Drosophila melanogaster: one gene and its partner. The protein of the gene in region 2 interacts with the protein of the main gene of each other region in a pairwise test. Each region holds a gene or a part of one and is shown on either strand. Other genes may lie near its edges.

What was found.
Region 1: the proteins of PI31 (region 2) and ntc interact in binary tests that used the Drosophila melanogaster proteins (3 or more experiments, as listed by UniProt).

What each region holds. Positions count from the first base shown.
Region 1 is NT_037436.4:3,803,324-3,808,554, forward strand, and holds ntc (nutcracker), read right to left. Parts: upstream 3,137-5,231; 5' UTR 2,637-3,136; coding exon 2,498-2,636; intron 1,442-2,497; coding exon 636-1,441; 3' UTR 509-635; downstream 1-508. Other genes in the region: IntS10 (integrator 10), read left to right, coding at 3,489-3,688, 3,742-4,786, 4,843-5,231. UniProt on the Drosophila melanogaster protein: Functions together with PI31 to control non-apoptotic caspase activation during sperm individualization. Positively regulates PI31 stability.
Region 2 is NT_033778.4:11,966,757-11,972,262, forward strand, and holds PI31 (proteasome inhibitor 31 kDa), read right to left. Parts: upstream 3,360-5,506; 5' UTR 3,270-3,359; intron 2,095-3,269; exon of another isoform or gene 1,984-2,094; intron 1,899-1,983; exon of another isoform or gene 1,724-1,898; 5' UTR 1,696-1,723; coding exon 1,528-1,695; intron 1,476-1,527; coding exon 1,081-1,475; intron 1,024-1,080; coding exon 774-1,023; 3' UTR 587-773; downstream 1-586. Other genes in the region: ADD1 (ADD domain-containing protein 1), read left to right, coding at 4,226-4,319, 4,382-4,850, 4,969-5,506.

The DNA of each region.
Region 1 (5,231 bases), on a different chromosome or scaffold from region 2:
ACGATCGTAGAGGTAACTACTGGCACTGCTCTTGAGGCTAATGGAATCCAGGGGCGTGGCAGGTGGCTCAAAGATATCGAAGGAGTTGCAGGACTCAGCCGAGGGCGTCGGAGGATCCACAATTGTCCTTGCTGATGGAGCGGGTCGTATAAATGCATGCAATAAGGACACAATTTAAAGGATAATTTAAACACAAATATATGGTATTACTCTTACTCTTACTCTTACTAAAACATATGTAAAAAAACAAAACATAAGAAGCTTCAGTAATTTAAAACACCTTCCCCTGTTACTTAAAATCTATCTGAAAACTGAAGTGCTTAATTAATTGAATCACTTTCTCGAATTTACCTTTTCAATTGAAAAAATCCATGCCTTCCACCAAATAAAGCAAGGAATATTCCCTTTATCTTTGAGGATAGTTTATTGTAAAAATCCGTCTTAATATTTAAAACATTTCAGAGAATATAAAGAGACGTGTTGTATTTCAGCTCTTAACAAGGCATTTACTTGAATAAGCAAATATATTTATTGACATACAATGATTCCCGAGAATCTTTATGCACCACTTAATAATTTATTAATATAATAATATTTATAAAATCGCTTAAACCGGCTTCGATTAAAACAAGAGCTTAGCTTCTGCCGCCCTTTAGCCTTTTTCGCTCCACTTCCTTGCTGTAGAAATGAAGATGTCTATTGACCCTGGCCACCACATTTAGCTGGCTTTTGTCCAGATATCTGAAGATCTCGAAGTACAATTCGTCCGGGAGGCCCAATAGCGAGGGCTGTAGCTTCATCTCCATCTGCATTAGTTGCTGCGATCGCATGGGCTGGAACAAGTGCTGTTTCAGCTGATATGAGAGTTCATCCAGCTTCCGAAAGCGATGGTAGATGGGCTTGTTCTTCGCCTGAATATTCAGTACATAGCGTCCGATAGACAGGCTGACGCTGTAGCCAGGCTCCTTCGACGGAGGTGCTGGGGACAGGGTGATCATAAGCTGATCCCCCAGGCTGACGGCCATCAGCCGGCACTGAAGGGCAGCCACCAGAGAAGTCTCCTCGGGAGCATGCTTGTCCAATAGTGTTCTCAGTCGCATTATATAGACGGTGTCATTGAAGCACACTTCATATCTAGCTGGTTGTTCGCTCAGGATTCGCACATTCTGGGCGTGAAAGCTGCTAAATGATGGTACGGGTTGAATGAGGTGTCTCTTCTGGGCAAATGTCTCCTCCTCCACAAATCCGCATTCCAGGGCCACCAGGTAAGTCAACAAATGAAGCCACTCGGCAGCCGGCATTTTGCGACATTCCTGATACTGATTCAGTAGCTTATCCATATGCTGCGGCACCCATTCCAGAGTAGCATGCTCCAGGATCAACGGATTTGTCTCCTGGGTGCTCTTCTCTTGTATCAAACGTGGTCGCTGCTTTTTCCCCACTGCAACGAGTTTTATTTGTATTTATATTTAAACAGAATCTCGAGGATATGATTAGTGAAATTGTCTGTGCTGTTGGTTGGTTAGGAGAAGATTGAAAATTGCAGAAACAAACCTGCTATGTGCGGATTTCGGAAGCAACAACTCAAACCGGTAGTTATATACAATACATTTTGACACTACAAAATATAGAACACAGAAGTAAACTCAAAACTCCCGTTAAGACTTTAAGACTGATGTAGAACTTTAAATAAATTAAGTAAATTAACACTTGCATTCAAAAACAAATCACGAAAGAAATTGTAAATAAAATTATGTCTAACACGACATAAATATTTAATTCACTACTCAATTTGCTTTAAAATAAATTGTAAAATTAATCAAACTTAGAATTATTTTGTGTTTACATAATATATTTGATAAGACACTAGGTTAAACAAGTTGGAACTGAACAATTAAAACGGCTATTATTACAATAAATATAACGTCACATTTTTGAAGCAATTTACAAAATAATCAAACAGGTTTTTCGGAATTTATGTTACTTTTATTCGAAGGGGTTAACTTGATGATTCATCGAAGAGAGTCGCCGATCTTGGAATGAAAGTCTAAGGAACTTCATTCAAGTTAAGTGATTCAAGGTATGAGTAAATAGATATGCATAATTCGTGGATGAAAAACACATTGCTCTATAAACTAACAATAGAAACAGGTACAAATAAATTTGTTAAAAAAATATCTATAGAATGAGCAGATTGTTATTAGCATAATGCATGAATTAGTGTACGTTGTCTTGTTTATCATGATTTATGAGTATCTATTGTTAAGTGATATGTATTAAATAATGATTTCTATTATAGATTATGAATAACTTCTAGATATCAGTGATACTCTCAACTAAATATTAATATATACAATAATCGTATTTTTTAAGATTATTTTACGATATAGAATATGATAAGATACTAATGAACGATTGTTATTTGCAGGCCATTTATCAATTACATAGAGCGCTCTTAAGTAAGTTAGTAAGTTTCTATAAATATTACACAACTTACCCTGATCAGGAGCTTTAATGTCCTTTGTGCCGACCACTTGTTGCTCATTTTGCTGCTGTTGCGGCTGTTGTTGTTGTTGTTCGCCCGATGTCGTGGGAATGGCTATAAAGCCCTCAATTTCGGATTTAGTGTCTGACATTTCAGATATTTACGTACGAATTTTCTGGGAAACGATTTGATTTAAACTTTCAATGCGACTGTCATTGTTTGTTTTCGGAATGACAATCAGAAAATGGGGCATACTGCGATTTGTGCACTCAATTTTTATATTTAGTGCTATATAGTGGGACTGATTAACAAAAGGAGGGAATCGCAATTATATTACTTCGTTGATAAGCTGTGGCACTTAAGATTTAAACATATTTACAACAAATTGCGAATGTACAAATATCCAACGATTCTTATTCACGCAACAAAAACAAAGCGCAACGACGCATCGGCAGGTATTTTCTAGAAAACTTGGTTTGTCACAGATATTACATAAGCAGTCGCAATTGCCAGGTTCGTATGTATTTTGCTTAATATAGTTTTCGATTTTGTAGCCGCAAAAATCACAGAAAATTGAAAAATTCGCGAAAAAACAATTGGTTATTTAGCGAATAATCAGCTGGCTGGCAGCTACTATGCAACACTACTGCCGCTGCTGTTATCGATTGCAGATGAGGAGAGAGTCGCTTGTTAAGCTAGCTATATTCAAGCTGAAAATTAAATATCTTCGAATTCACCGAACATATATTGATATAAAAAGCGTTTTAGGTTGAAATGACTCAATAACGCCAGCCCTAATGTAACTAAAACAAGCGCACTATGCTAAACAAGCGTTTTGAAAATAATTGAAATCTCTAGCTAGTTTCTAGATCCAATAGTTCCCATCCCTAATAGAAAAATATGGCCAGTGCTAGTAAATAAATTCCTAATAGCCGGCTAAATGGTTTGTTTTTGTTGAAACTAGGAGAAAATTAATAAAAACAAAAGATATACCCGAAGAAACATGCCGAGCCAAGAGGAAAATGAGTTGTACATGGTCAAGGAGGCGCAAAGACTCCGGAAAAGCGATCCTTGCGCGGCCATGGCCTGGATTATCACAGCTAAAACTTTATATCCCAATGCATTCAACCTGCAATACGAGGCTTATCTACTGGAACGCGATGCTCAGAATTATGAGGAGGCAGCAAAGTGTTTCAGTGCTATGTGAGTATACAATAGCACATCTATTCCAGTTACTTTATCTTTTACTGTTCCAGAGCCACCAATTTCCAGAATCAACATACGGAGCTGTGGCAGGAGATCAACTCCCTAACAAATGCCCTCAGAAATGAGAATGAAACTACGCCGGAACACGAGTTCTATGTAAAAATGTACAAGCACCTAACTCCGGAAGTACAGCACAACATATTCATGCACACCATCAACCACAGTGCCGATAATCTGGAGCGCATCTATATCTACATACTGATGTTCAACAAGTTTCCCAAATCAGCCATAACTCAGGCTCCCAGGCTACTGGAAATGCTGGCGGAGGGCATGAAAACCGAACCGGATCTCTATCAGCGGATTCTGGTGGAGGAGGTATTGCCCATGATCCAGAATAAGCCCCCGGAACTTTCGCCAAATCTGGCCTGCAGACTTTATACCAGTTCCTTGGAGTTTTATTTGCGGCAAATAATGGATGAATCGGATACAGCAGATGCCTGGAAGAACATCTTTAAAGTGCTGATGATCTGCGGTCAGATGATGGGCTGGGAGCCCTTCCTGCCCTTCAGCAAGCATGTCAACCAGAACGTCTACTGGGAAAAGCTGGTGGACATACTTTCCGGCAGTCCTGCGGGCAGCTCCCAGGTTTTGTTCTACGCCACCACCTTGTTCATTTACTCCCTTCATGGTTATATACGAAATTGTAAGCTGAGGATCGAGGATGCCGATGTAACTCATGTTTTGGTAGAAGGATTCATGGAATGGTCGCCGGAAGGTGATGGCTCCGAAGTGCCCAGCATGGAGCCACCGAAATTCTCCCTGACCACGGCCATAAGTCCAGAGTTATCCAAGGCCTTCCTACACGCCGCCCAGTGCTGGCAGCTGCTCAATACGGATCAGTTCCAAAGGGATTTCAGTCAACTTATGCTGGCTCTTCCCTTGGCGCCTTGGATCTCAAGATTCCTCTTCGACTTGGCCATATATTTCGGACACCGGGATGAGGCCAACAAGCTTATGGCGGACATGACCACCCAGAGCAGTCTGGTGCAAAGCCTGCAGATCTTGAGCCTTAATCTAATGCAAGGCAGCATGACGGTAAGTAGAGAGCCAGTTTTTTCACATGGGTAAACCTTAATGAATTTCTCACACAGCTCCAGGGCTTCCAGTGCATTTTAAAGATCCTGTCAGAACTCCCCACCACCCAGGGTCAACTTTTGGAGAATATGTCGCTGAAGGGCCACAGGCACATGGTTTTTCTGCCCCTCACTCGATCAGCGTTGGTTCAGTACTGCGTGGGAGCCATCATCAGCAGACTGAGTCGCAAGGTCTTCGAACCGAACGTTCCAGATCGATTGCTAGGGGATATCCTAGTGCTGCAGCAACTTAATCTACTCAACGATGTTCTGCTCACTCAACAGATATTTAACCTGATCAAGCAACGGAAATCGTTCAATCTGCGCACCCTATCCACCTACATTATTAATATCGATTTGCTCGAGGAACTCTCGCACATTTGGAACTCCCAGCAGGAGGATAACTT
Region 2 (5,506 bases):
CAATCACATCTACGGACGCCATTTACCGCTGCCAACGCGCGGCTACGTGCCCACGCCACGCATGTTCATCGGGGAATGGGACTGAGCGTAGTTCACACCGCACCTGGGCGGGATTTTAGCCGGATTTTGAGCGGCCAAGGCACAAAACACACCACAACACTTGCACATCCCGGCGTGAGAGGGAACGACGCCTACCGTGCAGAGCTAATTTAAGTCAACCGGCTGCACACAGCTTGAAATATTATTTACATTATATTAATTTAGCAAAATATTATGGTAAAATAATATTAGGCTAGGCATAAGCAGCAACAAAAAAAACAAGAGTAATCGCAAACCATTGTAACATTTAGTGCCGTGATTTTTCGCGCTTTTCCCCTAGCAATTTTGAGATTACGCACTTGAGCCAATTTTGTTTACCCTGTTGTACGAAATGAATGAATAGCCATTACATCACGAGTTCAGTTAAGCTTTTAAGTATATTGTAAATTTCTCTTGAGCAGCCGTCAACTCAACTGGCCTGTTTGCGTATTTACTTGATAAATGTTCTTAACTACGAATTTTTCTAGTAAAAACTCAAACAAGCGTTGTCTAACAGGCTGCTGTTTTTTATTTTATATCTGTAAAATTCTGTAATATTCTGTATTGTGTATGCAACGTAATAAAAATAATCTTTTAAAACAATCCGTTTAATTTTGGTCTTCTAAAATGAAAACTTTTTTCATTGCTTTAAACTAAAGATTTGAATTGCTCACTATACATGGCATTCCTGGTAATTACATGTAGTAATCGGGATTCCAATCTGGTGGGCGCATATGATCTGGATTGATTCCACCCTGTCCCGGCCTATTCGGGTTCAGGGGATTGAACGGGTCGAAGCGGGGCACGGGTCCCGGGCCCATATTTGGGCGTGATGGAAAGCTGAACAGGTTACCATGACCACCGCGACCCAGTGGATCGAGATCCCCGCGTCCAACGTCCGGAAATCCAAAAGGGCGAGGCTCGAATGCACTTGGAATGAAGGATCTAAACGAGGGGAAACGATTAACGAGTGTATAAAAAACTATCCACAAGTGTTCTTACCCGCCACGCCTTGGCTCGCCGATGCGCAAGGGATCTGGATCCGATCCAATGGGGCGTGGTGAGTTGGTCGTCTGCGTGGTAACTTCGCGCGAGTTTCCCGTGAATACAGGGTCTAGAAGCTCCCTACGGTAGCGTTCAACAATCTCTGAGGCACTCGGCATTATGGTGGTGATGCCTCCCTTGACCTCAGGTACCAGGGTCTCTGGTTCTACGCAGATGTTGGATACCTTCTTAGTGTTGATGTCCAACAGGTTGATCAGCAGGGAGCCCTCGGTGATGTGGCCCAGCAGCAAATACAGCATCTTATCGTGCACGTAGCGCAGCGAGTACTTGGTATCGTCATCATTCCAGCTGTCCGGCAGCAGCTCACTGCCCTCCTCCTCCGGCAAGGTTTTCTATGGAATTCCAGATGATTTCACTAATATGCGTGGCCATAATCATACTCACATCATCGCCAACGCCAACGCATCGGAAGTTGTAATGCTTGGTCAAAAGAAAATGGACGAGGGCAATCAAAAGGTCTGACTTCTTGGAGACATCAGCCTTAACGGTCTTGTACAGCAGATCCCAACCGTAAAAGAAATCGCCCGTCTTGGCAGTCGACCCACTTTCCATTGCGGCCACCGATAATCCTTTACAAAATCTGGGTGGGAGTAAACAGAACGAATGGAACGTTCTAATTTATGCTTAGTATATATAAATATGTTTACATTTCGTTTGCTTGGAGCGACGTCAGTTTCAATATCTGAAGCCCACTACAGAAAGTATAAATACTGAATAAATTTCCAAGACAACCTTTGCTTTAAAAGTTTTGTAAACAAAATAATGAGGAAAGAGCGAGAAGTTGTTTTTAGCAAGTTACCACCACATTCTCAATTTTTATTTTAAATCTTTTGGACGTACCTTAGCTCAATGTTTTTTAAAAGGATCTATATTGTTTAAATAATAATAAATTATAAATGACTTTGTTAATATTGCTGCATCTTTGTGAAAATAGAACTAGTGCTGGGATAATCGATATTATCGAGGTATCGGATATTTACTTTTCTGAGCCACTATCGATGGTTTTTTGTCGCTATCGATAGTGCTGTTCATTTTTGTTAAATCAACTGATGGTAAGACCGCGAAATATTCACAATGTGGAAAAGTTTTAATGTGTGACTCCAAGCTACGACTCGAGTTCTCGTCGGATAGCAGAACTCGGCGAGTTATCATGAAGTATGTACATAGCCACTGATATGCGCACATTTTCAGTAGTGGAGGACAATGGATTTCGCGATATACTGAAAGCATTTGATACGCGATATAAGCTTCCATCTCGTAGGACATTGAAAAATTTTGTAATGCTTTTTAATCCGAAGTACTCAGAGGAAAATACAGATCCTCTAGAATATTGGAAGGTAACTATACCTATTTGAGAAAAACATTTAAAATTGCTAATATTTTTATTATTTTAAAGTTATATCGAAAATTTGCTCTCCAAACATCGAAAATATCGAATGGCGCAACTATCGATAGTTTCCCATCACTATTTATTAAAACTGGAAAAAATTTATTGCCTTTTTCAATTTTCTAATATCTCAATGTGATTTATCGATATAGTTATCGATACAGATTTCATATATTAAATCTTTTAATATACAAAATTTTGTGAGAGTAGAACAAACATTAATAAAAATATATAAATAAATAATAAAAACATTAACTTAATACTAGCAACATAATTGTCAAGGTATTTCAAAGGATTCAGAATTTGCTTCGGGCTAGTTATAAATTTGCTTATATCGTAAATACCAGACATAAAAGATTTATTAAATTTCTAATGTGATCCATATGTTCATATTTTAAATATTTTGAAGAAGTCAAGAAAAGTAAACAGTAATTGTAACATAGAAACGATGAGCGACTATCAATTGACTTTGTAATAAAGAAATTCTTATATATAAATGTCTATTTATATATTTATATATTTAAAATAGTAATAGGAAATGCTTAGTACAACATCTACATGTTCATAATACGAAACCTTACGACTTACTAATATGTGTACAATTATAAAATTCCCTATTTCTGACTGATTATTTTGATCAACTATTCATTAAGATTTCCTCGTTCAAGTTATTCGAGTTACTTTAAGTTATTTTTACTGATATTTTGACATTGTGGAATTTATGTTTCCAAAATCTTACTTGATTTATTTTTAAAAGTTGTCTGAAGATCAGTTGTTGCGTTCTGAAAACTTGTTTTAATGATTTTATGTGAAGTCATGATTTACTAATTCTGTTAACTCGATATGTTTATACGGTCTCACATATATCGATTGCCTGGAACCAGTTCGCCAAATGCTTTAGATATCTCAAATATTTCTTATGCGGGAGAAATTAAAACGTTAAAAATATAAAGCAATTTGGAATATTGATTTGTTTAAAAAATTCTTGTTTTTCGTAAATAACACATATATGCTGTCTCTTTCTTAACGCGTTCGGATTCTTATGGACGGACGATGAGTGTAAAAGAGATGACTAGTAAGTTTAGGGTTGCCAAGGCTTGCAAAGACTAACGAATACGAAAACATTCTTTAAAATATAAAATATATTTATCAGCCTTTAAAACGATAGAAATGATTAAAAAAAATTTACAATAAATGTTGTGATATTAGAGTGATATTATAGCTAATTTAATGATCCTCTGATGCCAAAAAAAAAGAAATATTCTTTTTGATCAAAATTTTAGCCATGTTTTCCTAAGAAAATTTTAGAGTATCGGTCCGAACTTGTTATATAGACTTCGTAGAGCCTACTTCGGCTGGAACCCGAAGGGGCAGCCATATTGAATTTGATGCGGAATATTCAGCTGTCTTTCTCGGGTGAAAAAATCTGACACATTTTCGAGGAGACTTGCTGCGAAGCATTCAGTACAGGATCTCCCAATAATATTTTTTCCCGGTTTGCCCAACTAATAAATAATTGTAAACACGCGTCCCTTGCAGCCCTGTTGTTATTGTGTTGCCAAACATAAAAGTGATAAGCGCGCCGCTTTTTTCTGCGGCGGCAGCAGAAAATCGTGAATTTTTCGCGTTTTAGAACAAAAATTGGTGCGGATCGCAGTGCTCTAGTCCAAGAGGCCCGGATACGGAACAGAAGTCATGAGTAACAGTGCTCCGGGTAGCGAAAGTGGCCTGGCAAAGGTAGCGACGCCGTCGCCATCGCCACTGGCCAAATTGGATGCGGATTTCACGAGTGAGTACTGGGCATCAGCCAAGTGGAAAATTGCATATAAATTGCATATACCCGCAACGCAGGCTCCAAGTTCGAGATGCACCCCTCGCTTTCAGACGAGGAGCGCCGCTTCTACCTGAAGATGTACCCCAACGTAGATCTGGTGAACCAGCGAAAGGTGCACTGCACCGTGTGCAAGCTTCACCTGGGCACAGCACCCGCCGCCGAGAGCAACATCAAGATGCATCCCATACTGCGGGTGACGCACTGCGTCAAGTGCCACGATTTTTACAACAGCGGCGAGTTCTCCAAGGGCGAGGATGGCTCTGAGCTGTACTGCCGCTGGTGCGGACAGGGCGGCGAGGTATACTGCTGCTCCACTTGCCCCTACGTCTTCTGCAAGTCGTGCATCGTGAAGAACCTCTCCAAGGGCGTCATCGTGGACATCGAGCAAAACGAGAACTGGAACTGCTTCAGCTGCACCTCCAAGATCCTGTGGCCACTACGAGCCCAACACTGGGCGCTGGTCAACTATCTTCAGACGCAGAAAAGGTGCGGTTTTTAGTCCTACTTGTCTATGCTTATGGCATCTTTAAGTCTTTTCATTCATTCACTTATCATAGTGATTAATCTCTTTCTAAATTGACTTTTCTTATTTAATGTAATGCAGGGCCCTACAAACCCTTCAGCTTCCCGAGGTGGAGGCCCGACGTCAAATGCTTAAGGATAACAGCAATTGCTGTCGCTTGGCGAAGTCGAAAACCAGCAGCTTATCCGACTCGATGGAAAGCTTGGAGTCCAATGTCTCCAAACGCAGCCAGGGCAGCTCAGCGGGCTCGAGTAAACGGGGATCCATGCCAAAAACCATTCCTCCGGGACCACCATCCAAGCGCGCTAAAGCTTCCAACAACGAAGTGGTCTGCACACCGGATCTGCTCAGCATGCTGGAGCCGGATTGCCAGCTCTCTGTGACGCCCAAGCCTACTGGACGTCAGACGGTGACAGCGGCAAATATCACCACTCCGAGGATTGTCACCGTCCAACAGAACTACCAACCGGGACAAAGTTCCAGCAACAGCGGCAGCAACGGAAGCGTAAGTGGTTCTTCATCAGTGCCACCGACACGTAGTAGCCTGCCACCTCCCTTGGTTCTCAGTGGATCTGGAATCCGCTACCGCCAGAATGCCCCTGGTGGGGTCTCTGGTGTG